2 linked regions of the Oreochromis niloticus genome follow. The protein of the gene in region 2 purifies or fractionates together with the protein of the main gene of each other region. This does not show direct contact. Links are inferred from orthologs where the notes say so. Each region holds a gene or a part of one and is shown on either strand. Other genes may lie near its edges.

Region 1 (7,120 bases), on a different chromosome or scaffold from region 2:
AGGCTAAGGTGGCGTGCAGAGCCTGATATGTGCGTGCGGCGTTAAAGCAGCTAACAGAGTCGACTCGTGCAGTCTGTCGAGTTTATGGAGTCAAAATCTATAAATCAGTCACCATCACACGAAACCTGAAGCACCCGAAGCTACACAAAAACATCGCACACACACCAAAGAAAACAAAACAACCACAGCTATCTGTTTTTAAAAGAGCTGAAAAACAGCTTCTGCTACATCAATTCAGACTTAAATCTAACTAGCAAAGACATCGTAGCACAGCAGCTGACCGGAGGACCGGGTGAGGATCCAGTGCTTGTCGTGAAACCTCACACATATAAACGACATCACGAGCTCTGACATAAAAGCAGGAAGTCTCTTTCTTGACCCAATCAGCACACAGAATGATTCAAAGGAGAAAAACATGACTTTGAGTGGATGTGACGGATGTGACATGTAACACAGTCGTCGGTCACAGTTTCTGTGCATTTATACAGAGATACTAACTCTGTGTTTGGAAGCTGGCGAGAAAACACGATTCAGACATTGTCTTGATTTCATAAAGCTCCAAATGTCCAGCGACTAAACAGGCACCTAGGATGTATCCTGGTCCCCTTACCCCCTCCACTGCCCCCTTCCAGTGTGGAGGACGTGGGTCTACCCTGAACTTCTCCCAACAGGCCAAACTCCTCACAATCATTTTAATGCTGAGCCCAGATGCCATATCAGAGGAAGCTCATTTCCAGCCTCGTATCTGTGATCTGTTTTGGTCCAAAACCCACAGCTTGTGGTCACAGGTGACCGTGGAGGAGGGCACAGAAATGCAGGGATACCCACAGATATGCTTTCACACTCAGCTCTGCATCACTACATCAGTCCCTCTCCCCCTCCACCCTTTTCCAGCTGAGAAAAGTGTGGAGTTACAGTTACACCAGTCCGAGCTGGTGGTCGAGCCTCAATGAAGCCAACAGAACCACATCATAAGTAAAAAGCAGAGACATTGATCTTGAGCCCACCGAACCCTCCGCCAAGAAATTCATCAAGAAATAAAATCAGTTCAACCCTGGAGGGGGTCCGACACCCAGCATGACCAGTCTGCCTTGTGAACCAAAGTCTCGCTGCGGTTGTACAGACTGGACAGCGTCCACCAGGGGACACCCGACCTTTCTACCACTTTCACTGGTAGAAAGAGCCAGCCAACCCAACGCTGTCATTCTGTCATCCTGGCTCGAGCTGAACTAACAGTGACTTTTAAAGAGAGACAAAAGCACGTGAAGGAAAGCAGTGCGTTTAATCTATAAAACCCAGTCTATCTTGTTTTCAGTGCTTTGGGGCTCAAATTTTCACTGAAATTAAAACCTGCTTAACTGGCCTCTCTTACTCAATGCCATCAGGAGTTCAGGAGAATGCAGTAGCCATGATTTTCCAATCAGCCACAGTCCGCCTTAAATGAGCTCAGGCTCAGAGAAAGCACAAGCTACTGTGGATTATTTTACTGCTTATTTAACTTAAAATAAGTGAAATTTATTTTATAACTTTTCAGGAAATTACACTATGCAACATTTTCTTTATAATGGCATTTGTGCACTTTCATAAGGGAAACGACAACAGTAAGTGCCTCAGTGTTAGTTTGATATGGCGAACTGACATCAGGGTTGAAAGGTGGATGCTTAAAAGTGTAGGAGTGTGTGTGCATGTGTGTGTGTGCATGTGTGTGTTCCTTACAGCTATGACCACTGTGATATCAGCGAAGGAGTCCAGAGCAGGAGCAGCCAGAAGATCAGAGAACAGCAGAACCAGCTCCCTGTGAGAACACACATTCAATGTTATTTACAGATGTGTGCATCATTTAAGGTTCTACTGGCTCATCAGTGCCTGAAAACCTGCGTCACACTTGTCCTCCCTCATCAGATGTGCATAAATAAACCTTTCACATGTTTAAATTAACTTTCAGCTCTGGCTGTTTGCTGTGGTGTGACACTAACGGTGGCCTGTCCTCTGCACCGTTCACCTGCAGGTCTTGATCTGTTTGCTCCTCAGCTCCTCGCCTTCATCCTGCAGAGTCAGGGTGACGCAGACCAGCTGCTTTGGGTCGGGAAGACTGAGGAAATACAGGGACTGGTGGCCTCTGCTCATCCTGCACACAGCTGACACAGGGAAATGACCAGAGTCATAACGTGAATTCAAAGAGCCTCTGTGAGGTTCATAAGACACAACCAGACAAAATATACTTTAGATAAGCCTACAGCAGCTGATTCTCACTCCAAATATGACCAAACAGACACGTTTTAGGTTTCGAAATGACAGTTCTGTCAACTTAATGATCTATTAAGTCCTTTAATTTATATTTACTTGTCAAAAGTTCCTACACAGAAGAAAAATGCTCAGATAGCGTTTAGGCCAAAGAAAATTTTATAATCTACAAAAAACTGTTGGCTAAAAAAATTTAAGGGTAAGAGAAGAGGATATAATTATAATTTAAATAAATAATAATAAATAATAGCTTAATGTTGATCCATATTTATAGTTTGAGTTCAAATTACTTAAAATCATCTTTATAACCGCTTAAAGACTTACTGCAAACACAAAAAACACAATAATCATTTTTAAACGTTAAGCTAAAGTTTTAAAGTTTTAAAGTTGTCACATTGTTGTGCCTCTGACCTGAAAACTATAAAAGCTAATGCTATTGATAGGCTAGTAGCAGCTAACGCTAAGTTAGAGCTGTGCTTTTTTTTTTTAGCATTGTTTTAAAATTAAAGTTAATATCTCAGTCACTAACCTTGTTCTAATGCTTACACTACAACAAAATAAAACTTATCTTCTGCTGGGAATAGTTTTATTAGAAAGAAACATTTCAAAAAGCGTAAATACAACATATAAGGTTAGCAAAACTCTCTTTAACAGTAGTCGAAGATGAGTGAGAGAAGAAGAGGACTCTCACTCTTCTTCGTTTAGTGAAATAAATCGTTTCTATTGAAGATGGGGTGCAGTTTATATGTGTATGTTTACAAACTTCATATTAATAACTATTTAATAAAATGCATATTAAAGACTCCTTAGCAGAACAAGTGGAGCATGATGCCTGATTAATGTTTTGTCTGATTTAAACTTTTTTTTTTTTTGGCTGCATAGTGATGAGTTGTATTAATAGACGAACTTTGAGTTCGGGTTCGAGTGTTTTCCCGCCGCAGAGCCGCTCCAGTAACAGTCTAAATTTTCTACTCTGAATGCCAATTTATGACAACATTAACAAAGTTATGCAGGTCAAATGGGATTTGGGACTACAACCGGATGTCCGGCTGCCCGCTGAAACGCTCAGATTAGGAAAAAAATCTCAGTACGTGGGCTACGTGAGAAGACCCAACCCGTTGCGTGAGAAGTGAGTTTCCTTGACAGCCGTTGAACTCCAGCGAACTTTGCCCTCGTCCTCGCCTATAGCCTCACTGATGATTGGCACGGGAAGAGCCAATCACAGACGACCATTATCCTGGAGGAGGGAAGGAATAGCCAATAGCATATTAGGAGGGCGGTAGGGAGGGCGGTCTCCGCCAGTGTGTCAGGAACTTTGAGACATCATGAAGCAGCCTGTAATAACTACGACCACAACGGAAATTACAAAGCAGTATTTCATAATAAAAGCACAATGCAGCATAATAATAATAATAACGACATAAAGAAATAAAACGTATAGGTTTAGTACACCACCATATTTACATTGAAATATATAAGCTATACATATCAGGGCACTTATTTGAGGAATCATTTGAAGCATTATGTTACTTAACTTTTATTTTATTTTGTAAATAGGACATAAAACTGCATGTATAGCTTAAACATGTATAGGTTATGAAAATAAAATACTTCAACTTTTTGCTGATAACTGCCGAGCTATGCATTCTTTCTGAAGAAGTCCGTTATACTAACCGGAGGGGGCTTTTATTTTGGAGGCAGCAGCAGGAGGCGACACTGAGCTCAGGTAAATTCAGCAGCTGAGGTCTGCCCAGCGCTGGAAGTTAGTGTGGACTCTCTCTGGGTTAAATGTCGATGTGTTTTTGTGGACTCACCGTCTTGATACACTCCCTGGGATTATATAACCTCGGACAGGCTGCTCAGCCCTCAGAACTCGCTCCCACAGCGTCGCACAGATGGGTGAACAGAAGAAAAGCTCCGAGGGAGTGAAATACTACAGACTGGCAGAGATAGAGCAGCAGAACTCCTTCAAATCTACGTGGATCATCATCCACAACAAAGTCTACGATGTGACCAAGTTTCTGGAGGAGGTGAGCTGAGTGTCTGGGTGTTGAAGGTGGTGGGGGTGCAGAGGTATATGTGTCTGTGGAAATCAGCCAAAACAGGAAATGAGGAAACTAGACACCCTGCGCTGAGAGGGAGGAAAATCCAACCGAACCGCTTTTGAATGCATGTTTAGCAGCTTTTAATTTCACAGTACAGACCGGAGCCTTCTCAGTAGTGCAGGGGTCCCAGGAAGGGCCCCAGAGGAACCCCGACAAACTTAAACAATAAGTCAAAGGTCAGATGAGAAGTATCCAAATCAGTGCAGGTGTCTCAGTTATAACGGAGACGGGATTTGTTTGGGTTTTGTGGTTGTATGGAAGCCCAGAAATGCCAAAAGACTCTGGACATAGATGGATGGGATTATTGATTAGAAACTGAATGTCTGCGTTTTGTGGGACTGTCAGACTGAACGAGACTTTTAGATTCAATCCTGGATTTTTCATTTTTAAATGATCACGTTTTATTGTGATCCTCAACAGTTTCAATTTCTGATCAAAAAGGTTTTAGTGACAATAAATGATGGTATTGATCTTTGCATTGATCAAAAGCCTTTAAACTGGCCAGACACCAGCTTCACTGACCAATGTCTGTCTGTACCTAATGAAATGGTGTTTACTGCTGTTCGGGACATTTAGTGATGATTTCTTTGTTTCACTGGAACAAAAATGGGAATAAAACAGCAAAAAAGCATATTTCATAATAATAATAATAATGATAATAATAATAATAATGTAAAATGTAAAAATTAAATTAAAACATATTTTGGCAGATTTACTTTTTAAACATTGAACTGTAAATCTGAAAGGACTTTTTTCCAGTTGATCAATATATAAAATAAATCCTTCTGACGAAGGACGCTCAGCCAAATTCTAATATCGGCCTGATATCTGTATTTAAGCAAATTAAAAGGGCGTTAGCGATGTCAGCGGCTTATTTATCTGTCAGAGGTCGCATGAAAGAGTTTCAGTTTAGTTGCAGCCCCTGAGAAGTTATTGATTATCGTATTAAACCTGAGAAATAAAGCTATCCCTGCAAACCTGAGTGATTCCTCATTAAAGCCAAATATTAGCAGCTCAAGCTGCTCAGACCTGAGTGTTTCCTGTTTTTATGGTCCCCCTGACACCAAACTCATTGTGTGTGTTTCAGGCTGTTGGTTTTGTGATGCTGGGCACCAGTGATTGGTCAATAACCGTACTATAATGATCGTAGCATGTGCATGTTTATATGTCTGTATGTGACCTATTTCCTCCTTCACTGTTGGGCCAGTCTGAGTGAAACCATTCTTATCATCTATGTGTTTTTAAAAACGATTTATCACAAACACCAATACTTTTGATTTTCATATCCAACCCTCTGTTTCTGTTCGTTTCCTGTGTTTAGTGTTTGTCACTAAACTTTGTATCCACTGTGGAATTTTCTGTTCCGATTGTTGAGCTGACTGATTTTGATTAAGTTAAGGTGAAGTTACTCTGGGTACCTGCAACATTTAAATAAAAGTTTTAGACTCAAGTTTAGTAGTATTAGAGAGTATTAGAGTAGTATTAGAGAGTATTAGAGAGTATTAGAGTAGTATTAGAGAGTATTAGAGAGATGACCCTGTATGCAGCACATGGCAGCAGTGGGGAGGAAGAACTTCCTTTTAACAGGAAGAAACTTCCAACCGAAGCAGGCTCAGGGAGGTTTAGCCTCTTTGGCCCTAGAAAACATATGAATGAGTAAATGCGTCTGACTGCCTCTGATTGGTCTAGAAAAGGTGTGATGATTGATATAATGAAGTGCTCCACCTGGAGCCTGGTACCTGTCCGTCTGCGTGCAGGTTTATTGCAGGTTTAACGTGCTGCTCTGAAGCACAGAGCGATCTAAGGCCGTAAACATGGATCGCTTGAGTTTGCATGCAGCAAATGTGACTGCTGCACACACTGACCCCAAAGCGTCAGCCCCACGACCCTTCACCTCCACCTCCATTCAGTTTTACACCGTCCCTCTGCTTTCAGATATCGTCAGGCTTCAGTTTTCTGCTGATTCACTGGGATGAACTCTGTCACAGTTTGCTCTCTGGCTTTGTGCTGCAGACTCTGGTGAATCATTGGCAGGTTGCCGTGATGGAGCTAAAGGGGGGGGCAGGGTTTTATAACATGTGACTACACAAAGAGAGAACTCGCTCTGACTCACTTCAGATCTAAACCAGATTAAAAGTGTTTTCATTGTTAATTTAATCCTGGAGACGTCAGCATATGTGTGGAATTATTCAATTAAAGATGAACGGCAGGAAGTTTTTAATCCAAATCAGAAATATCCAGGAAACTGGATTCACTGGTTGAAGTGTTCACACCCGTTACATACAGATAATAAGCACTCGATAGCAGAGCTGATTGGAGTTGATGAGGTTAGCATCAGTTACATGCTGCACAGCTGTCCATGTTTGCTTTGCATGATGAAACAATGAGCATACCCCGGGTAGTCTCTCTTTTTTCTTTCTGTAGACTTATGAGGTTTTGTGGTCACATGACAGCTAGTCACATGATGTGAATGATTTGGACATGTAACAGTGTAGAGGCTAAAGGTCTAGGGACCAGTCTGCAACCATCTGCCAACCTCAGGTCACTGGGAGAAAATGATTATTCTCCAACTGGTTGGCCAAAGGGTGCTGGCAGACCTGAAGGCCAGACATTGACTGCCTGGAAACCACCGGTTGCTAGGGAAAAAATGTATTCACCAACCACTTCCTTGTGATTTCTTTGGTTGCTAGGCTTGCAGACCGCTGTGTCACCTGTAATGTGATAGACGCTGTACTGTGTAAACAAAAGGTAGCACCCTTTGAAACATGGCG
Region 2 (8,125 bases):
CTGCTTTCATTAAAGCATCGTTCCAGATTATCTTCAACTGCTTTCTTAATATTGTTTCCATTTCATGCATCATGCTGAGAGTTACAAAGAGAAAAAAATGGTGTAAGCTCCCCTACAGTACACAACGTCCTAAATCTGTTAAACTTTAGACAACATTAGTATCTGAAACAGTAAATCCTGTCAGCAGTCTTGCAGGGTTAACAGTTTGGATAGGTTGTTGCTATAGTTTGACTGAGATGAGACAGTAAGAGCTTTGCACCTTGCAGGACTTAAATACCGGAGTACCTGTTCAGCTCCTGCAGCCACCGCTGGACCCAAGTGCAGACACAGACCACAGGAAGAGCTTAAAGGTTTATTAACAATGTAGAAATTTTGCTGTAGAGATCATTTCAGGGCTCCTCTTAGAAGTGGAGAAGAGAGGGCTGCAAATTTAACAGGTGAGTGAGCAGGAAGCAGGTAACTGATCTGGTTTTGAATGAAAGTCCAATTAATTCCAAACAGGTGCTGAGACAGTCCAACTGAGCTGTGAGAGAGCACACCAATAGCTTCCTGGAAAAGGAGACAAGCTGAATACCAAGAAACTAGACCAAGAGGAAGAACTAAATGAGCCTGATGTAACCACTGAGACGGCTGTATGATCAGGTAAAGCTGGAGATGACGAGTGCTGCAGGTGATCAACAGATGTGTATCAATGAATTACACAGCACCATGTGGACACTGGCCCTCTCAGCGATCTCCACCATCAGGCCGGAGACTTTATTGTAATTTATAGTTTGTGCAGTTCACCTGGTAACAACCCTAATAGGGTTTATGGTTAGGCTTTGCTTTTGCTTTAGCAACATGCTAAACAGGCTAATAACCTTTAAATAAACAAAAGAAAAAGAAGATGCCATCTTTCAAGTTAGGTCACATATATTTAAACGTTTTTCTATTTCATGTTCAAAACAGGACAAGACTCTTACCTCTATCTAAAGTTATGCATTTTTACATAATATGGTGCCATTTTTTGAGCATTTCAAATTGCTTTACATCAATACAACTGTTGAGTCACTTCATAATTTCATTTTTGAGATGCACTAAGTTTCATAAACTGCAACAAATTCCAATTTAGATATTATTGTGCACAATGTGCAAAAAAAAACAACATGTGCATCAAAGGAAACTATTTACAACAATTTAAGTTCTAAGTGTCCCAGGAACTATACAGAAAGGCACAAAGTCAAACATGACTTTCAATAGTACCAGTTAACCTTTGAAAGGCCCTTTTAGGGGAAAAAATATATTTCCCACCAAAATGACGTCACTTTCAGCTTCGCATGTAACAGTGAACATGTGATAGTTCCTGCTGTCAACGAGATGATGTAGGAAGTGCTGTGAACAGATCAAATCAGCAAAGCCTGTTTCTAGGTTATAATGTTTTTATTGTTGCGTATTCTCTTCATGCAATTTTTGCAGAGCCATCAATGGACTGCTGTTGATGTTGAATGCACGATATGTCAGTACAACTCCTCCGTTTTCATATGCAAAAAAATAATTGCTCTAGCTTATTTGGCTGCAGTTCTACTGAGAATTAAAAATAGTGGCAAATGGGATCGCCGGCGCTCCCGTGGGCTTCAAAGGGTCAAAAGGAAATAACTTTTAGTTTGAAGCTAATCACTTCTGATTCCAATTTGTGTCACATTTTCTCAAGTTTCACTGCAGTTCTGAGAGTAATAGGTGGTATAAGGTATAAGCTAAGGGCAACTAGTGACCAAAGCAATCATAGGGAGGTTTTTGGTGCATTACACTCTGTGCTACTGATGTCACCTTGCAACAGCCAGCAACCTCCAACAACCGCTCGCTAACTGGGAGGGCTTACAGTGGGCTGGAGTAATCTGCATTGGCGGTCTTGCACCTTCAGAGTGAGTACAGGTAAATCTGAAAATGCATAATAGTGTTAAATTAATTCTTTTTTTTTTTGTGGGTGAGGCTGGCACTGCTTCCTGTGACATGAAGCTATTTGCTCAGTAGTAACACAATAATGACAGTCCATGGCTGCCTACATTTTTAGCATATCCTGTTTTTCTGGTGCAAATGTAAAGTTACTTCAGTATCTGGCTAGTGCTGCAGATAAGGAGTAACAGTTTAACAGTTCTACTTCATTCTACTTCATACCACATTAGCTTCATAATCTGTGTCTAGTGTTTAAAATTACTGTTGCATTTTAGTTTTAAAATAATTATCCTGCTTATGAAAGATGTTACGCTAAAATTCACTCTGAAGGGGTAAAAAGGGGCTGATATGGATGGCTAAATGATCAATACCCCCACTCCTATGGTGCATGAGTTCAACAAAGGTCCTCACAAAGATATAAGCACAAACCTTTGTGTGTGTGTTCACTATAATGACTTATTAATCTGTCCATCACTCATCCGCTCGCTTTAGCCACTTTTAAAATACTGCACTTTCAGTCGGGTTTCAATTGGCTGTTTAGAAAAAGCCATCATCCAATGAAGCATGCTGCTGCCTCTGTGTGTTTCTACTCCACCCGACGACTGAAGGAAACCTTTTAAAGAGTTTAATGTGTGATTTAGGATGTCTGAGCTGGGGTGAGGAGGAGAAGGAGGGAGGGGGAAGAAAACCAGAGCGAGAAGAAGAAGAAAAAGAGAGAGTGGTGGAAAATTCTAAAAACAGACAGAGAGGGAGATAAACAGTCTTTATGAGCGCTGACATTTTTATGAAGCAGAGTGAGTGTGTGTGCATGTGGTCTTGTTTTTCTGTTTTTATGGAGTCTGAGACTCTGTGTGTGTGTGTGTGTGTGTGTGTGTGTGTGTGACCGCACACTTTGCTGCCCTCAACAGCTACTGGCTGGTATAGCAACAGAGGTACTTTTTGTAAATTTCTATTTAAAAATAAAAGATAATTTAAAACTTTCCAAAAACAAATATCAACAGAATGTAACAACCAGTTAATATCATTTCATGGCTCAAATGTCTGGTATAATGTTGAATAGATCTGAATCTGAATTAAAAACAGGCCCAGGCTAGCTTTCATGCAATACCAATGTGTACCACAAGAGGGCACAGCAAGTCAATGTAAGCATTATTTAATTAGTGAATTTATTATGAGCACATCTTCATTTATAATGTGGACCTGGCAAAGCTGCTCAAACAAGTCACACATCCACTAGTAAAATAAAAAAAAACTGCATAATTACGTCAAATCTTAGTGCAGCATATGCAGAAACACATGTACAAAAAAAATGTCTAGCAAGGTTTATGTGTTGTTGTTTTTTTATTTTATTGATTATTTTTTAAGATAAGATAAGATAATTCTTTATTTTCATTGCACAGTCATACATAGTACAATAGTACAATGAAATTGGAAAACTGTCCCACATCGGCACTACGTACAACACAACACATCACAACACAACACAACATGACACAACACAACACGACACAACACAACACAACACAACACAACACAGTGACTTAACTTAGTGTCCTGGGTGTGCACAATCCCATAGGATGCTGCGTGCCCTCTTGAGACAGCGAGTGCTGGACAGGTCCTTCAGGAAGGGACGAGGATGTCCAGTGATTTTTTGGGCCATATTAATGACCCTCTGAAGTGCAAAGGTGAAAAAATCTAATATATAAACAAAATTAAGAAAAATTCCTACCTTTTCTGGGACTGATTCTTTAATTGACTGAAGTTAAAAACATGGCCTGTGGTCTGACTAATCAATATTTTAAAATCCTTTTGATAATCACGGATACAACGTCCTCCAAGTTAAAGAGGAGAGGGACCACATGGCTTATTAGAGTCCATTTTTCCTTTGGTATGGGTAATATGCACCTCTGTGAAGGCGCCATTAATGCTGAATGTTAGTAAAATAACAAAAAACAAAAATGCATGTTCTAAACTGGTCCGACTGTCCTCCAGACCCAATGAAGACATTTATTACATTATGAAATATGACAAAATGTTAAGCAGCTGTAATATCCCAAACATTTAAACCATTGTGATGACTGAAGGATCATGTCAGAATAAAAAAAACCCAATAAAGTCCAGTATTTTCAAAGGTGTATATTGTCTTTTAATGATTTCTAAATTATTCCATCCTATTTTTAGTTGTTTTTTTTTTAAAGTCAGCTGTAATTTAGGCCTCATGACATGAAAGTACTTTCATTTTGAATAAAGGAAGATTAGTAAGGATTATGAGAAAACATTTTAGCCATATGACCCTGCAAAAATGCCAATGCAGGTCTTTATCCAGTCACAGGCCAATGAAAACAAAAAAACAATACAATTAATGTGAATTTGATATACTTCAGACATAGTTGTTTGCATTTATATTATTTAAATAAATATTTTTTGAATACAACTTCCACATGTAAATAATTACCTGTGGAAATAGAACAACAGAGAGCAGGCGCTTGTCGTTGTTTTGAAGCAGGCCTGATTTTTATGGACAGTGTCTCCCTCTGTTGGATAGAATAAGGAACTACTTATTAAATGAGCGTTTAATCTGTCTACTACATATTTTATATGTATATCGTATCTGATACAAATAAAATGTAACATGCTACAAAACATGCTGGTCTAAATTTAAGTTAAATTTTTTTCAGAGATTAAAATATCATGTGCAGAGACTACACGCAGAACGAAGTATTTCATTAATTCATGGCTTATATGCATACACCTCCAACAATATGTTGTTATGAGGGTCATGTGTACTAAAAAAACTAAAATAAAAATTTACACAATAAATGGTGAATTTAAAAATATTCAAATTAATTGCAATGTAATTAATTATCACTTTAAAAAGCAATGTATGCTGCATGCATATCCTGCACTAAAGGAATTAACTGGAATTAGCCTCATGTTTTTTTTCATTCAACAAAAAATGTAATATTGCGTGAGGTACAGAAAGATAATAATTATAAATTCATTAAATGATTAATATAGAACAATAAAGTGACGCAACGATAGGTCACGTGCTTCCGCCCCGCCGGCTCCGTGTCCAATCATATTTCAAGATGAGCTGGCACTAAAATACCCGGAAGTGTTTACAGCAGGAGGCTAAACTAGCAGCTAACAGTAGAGTCAGTGGAGAATTGAAGCTCCTGGAAGTGCAGTGCGGACACATCTCCTCCCCTGTGTGCGGTGCTTGTTAAGGTGAGTCCCACCTGTTCACTAATGATCAGCACCCCGATTCTCTCCAGCTTACCGAGGCTAACTGCTCCTAGCAGCAACCAACAGTTAGCTTCAGCGAGTGGCGCGAAACAAACGGCTTGTTTTTGGAAACAAGCGCTTGGAATAGATTAAAACAGAATGCTCGGTTTTCCAGAAAACTGAACCTTCAATAATCAGCTGAGTAATTCTAAAAGAAAACGTAACTAACAGGGGGGAAACTAGCTAGCATGCTAGTTAGCTAATGTAAAAAAAAAAACAAAAACAAAAAAACCCAAAAACAAGTTTAATTACTTTCCAGCACATAGACAGAACCTAGTTCGTTTTATGGAATTTAGTTCCAGCAGATACACAGACATGCAAATTTATCAGCTCACTGGAGGGTCTGCAAATTGCGAAGATGTGAAATGAGTGCGGGTAGGAGCGTAAAGTTTTTAGGTCAGGCACTTGAGAGTTTTCAGGAGTTAATTTGTGTGTCGCAGCTGGTAAAATGTACTGACAGTGAATCTTTGTGGTTTGGTTTGGTTTCTTGGCTGAAGTGAGCTGTAACAGGGAGCACAGTGTTGTGGGATCGATGAGGGGCGTTATCAGTGTTTTGATGTGTAAGGAGGCGTGATGCTCCGCTGTGTTTCTGCAGTTTTTGCGGAGCCGCAATGACACAGCTGTTCTGAGCTGCCATATCTGAAGCAAAGCAACCCCCTCGAGTGCTCACACTGCACACAACCAAAGGGGAAAAAAAGAAATCACACTCAGATGCTTTATTCGGTTTTTTTAGCTTGTGTCTTTTTCACTTATTGTTGTCAGGCATCGTCTACAAAGACGTCAATCTCAGAAAAAGGAGAAGCCTCCGGCCTCCACCCATCGGGCTGCTCTAAAGTGGGCTGTGTTGCTTTTCAGTTTTGTGGAACAATTAAATTAGTTTATTAGATTTATTCTCAGAACAGGATTAGGAGTGCATTTTTAGAAAAATGTCATTAAGCTTTGCTGAAAGACACTGAAAATCCACTTTCATAGGGTTGTAACATTTTTATAAAGTATGATCTGTGAAAATCTGAAGTCTTCCACATCAGCAACATGACAGTTAACCATTTACATTTTTTCTTTCTTTAAAATTTCGTGCAGAACTATGTGAAAGTCTTGAGCCACTCCTTGCTTCTTTTTCTTTAGTTTCCAGAGAGTCAGACTTTTTCAAAGTGGTGTTAAAGTGATAGTTCTTCGCCAAATAACAGAAATTGTTGCCTCAAGCTTCTTTATATTGTAAAGTACAGACAGACCCAACAATAATACAAGAAAACAGAGGAAACCCCAAAAGTCCTATGATCCCCTCCTATGAGCAAGTGCTTTAGAAACCTCCAGCAGAACCAGGATTCAGGAGGATCGGCCATCTGCCTCAATCGATTGGGGGTGAGCGGACGAAGACAGGACAAGGACATGCTGCGCCAGAGATTAACAATAACTAATTAACAACTTGGCAAAGAACCCATTTTAAATTGTGTCTTTGGGCACCAATCACAAAAACAAAACCTCACAAAAACATATCATTTGTTCCCATTTCTTTAGTTCTCTGAAAAATACCAAAGATAACAGTCTGACAGGCATAAAGAAGTATTTTTGCACCAACAAGGTGATTCCCAAAGAGCTATTAGCTGATGACTTGGTACACCTCAGCAAGGTGTGCAGTGTCCTTAAAAAAAAAAAAAATGTGAGGAAACTGGGCAAAAGTAGTGTCATTCCTAAAAAGCCATTTCTACCAGGTGAATTCAGAAATGGTCTCAATGAAAGGCTGGTTGTCAAGAAGCCACTATTCAAGAAGGGAAACTGGGACAAAGGTCAGAGGCAGATTACACAAGAACTTGACTGAAAATCAGTGGCAGGAGGTCTTATGGAGCAATGGATCCAGATATGATTTTTTTTTATATATATATATATATATCTGGAGGTTGAGAGAGCAGTACAACAGTGAGTGTCTACAGCCATCTGTTAGACACAGTGAAGACTCTGTCATAGTTTGGAGCGTTTCAGCCAGCAGTGTGTGGTTCACCACTGAAACAAAATACATGTCAGTCACTGACATCTACACAGCCCGCTGGCTCAGCTCTGCTGAGGCAATCATGAGAGACTCCACCCATCCTGCATCTCACCTGTTTGGCCTGCTGCCCTCAGGGTGACGCTACAGGTCCATCCAGACTCAGGAACAGTTTCTTTCCGCAAGCCAGTATAGTGAGCACAGACATGCACACACACACACACGCCCCACTTCAAAACACACATCTCTCTCATGCATCAACGCATACACACAACAACATACACGTTACCACCACCGCACAAGACCAGTGAAATACTTCAGAGCAACCTTGGACATCTGTATAAACTTTTTGCATTTATGTCGTTTGTATTTTTATATTTGTTTTTACTGTTACTTGTTCTGAATTTAATCATTGACTCTAAATTGCCCTCAGGTGTGAATGTGAGTGCGAGTGGTTGTCTGTCTCTGTGTGTTTGCGATGGATGGATTTATTCTAAATGCTGCTAACAGGAAGTTGCTTCTGTATTCGTTGAATGTCTGATGTTTAATGACAATAAAAGGATTTGGATTCTGATTGGCCTCCTTGGAAAGCAAATCTCAACATTATTGAAGTGTGAGTTCCATTCTCATAGAGAATGGAACAAAAATCAGCTAACATCCAGAACAGCTTTGAATTTCCTGGAGAGAAATTCCTGAAGACCTGAATGACAAGAAAGCTGACTAAAAGAGTTTATGCTGTGTTCAATAATGAAGGCAGTTACAGCAAATATTGACTTTCAAACTCATACAAACATGTTTTTTGCCTTTATATACTTATGTTTGCATGTGTTTTGTATCTATAGTATTTCCAATTTTCCTAGCAAATTATAAAGAAAGAGGGTTGGCTTAACACTTTTCCCCAGTACTGCTGCAAACCAGTAGGAG

What was found. Proteins that work in one complex are often made in the same cells at the same time.
Region 1: the proteins of bcap31 (region 2) and cyb5a purify together in Homo sapiens (co-immunoprecipitation; 4 studies listed by BioGRID and IntAct, with this or other methods). This does not show direct contact. The link is inferred for Oreochromis niloticus from reciprocal best matches to the Homo sapiens genes BCAP31 and CYB5A.

The regions. Positions count from the first base shown.
Region 1 is NC_031974.2:98,924-106,043, reverse strand, and holds the start of cyb5a (cytochrome b5), read left to right. Parts: upstream 1-3,994; 5' UTR 3,995-4,139; coding exon 4,140-4,274; intron 4,275-7,120. Other genes in the region: lg9h18orf63 (uncharacterized protein C18orf63 homolog), read right to left, coding at 1,717-1,795, 2,003-2,127.
Region 2 is NC_031984.2:4,572,513-4,580,637, reverse strand, and holds the start of bcap31 (B-cell receptor-associated protein 31), read left to right. Parts: upstream 1-5,003; 5' UTR 5,004-5,160; intron 5,161-8,125. UniProt on the Homo sapiens protein: Functions as a chaperone protein. Is one of the most abundant endoplasmic reticulum (ER) proteins.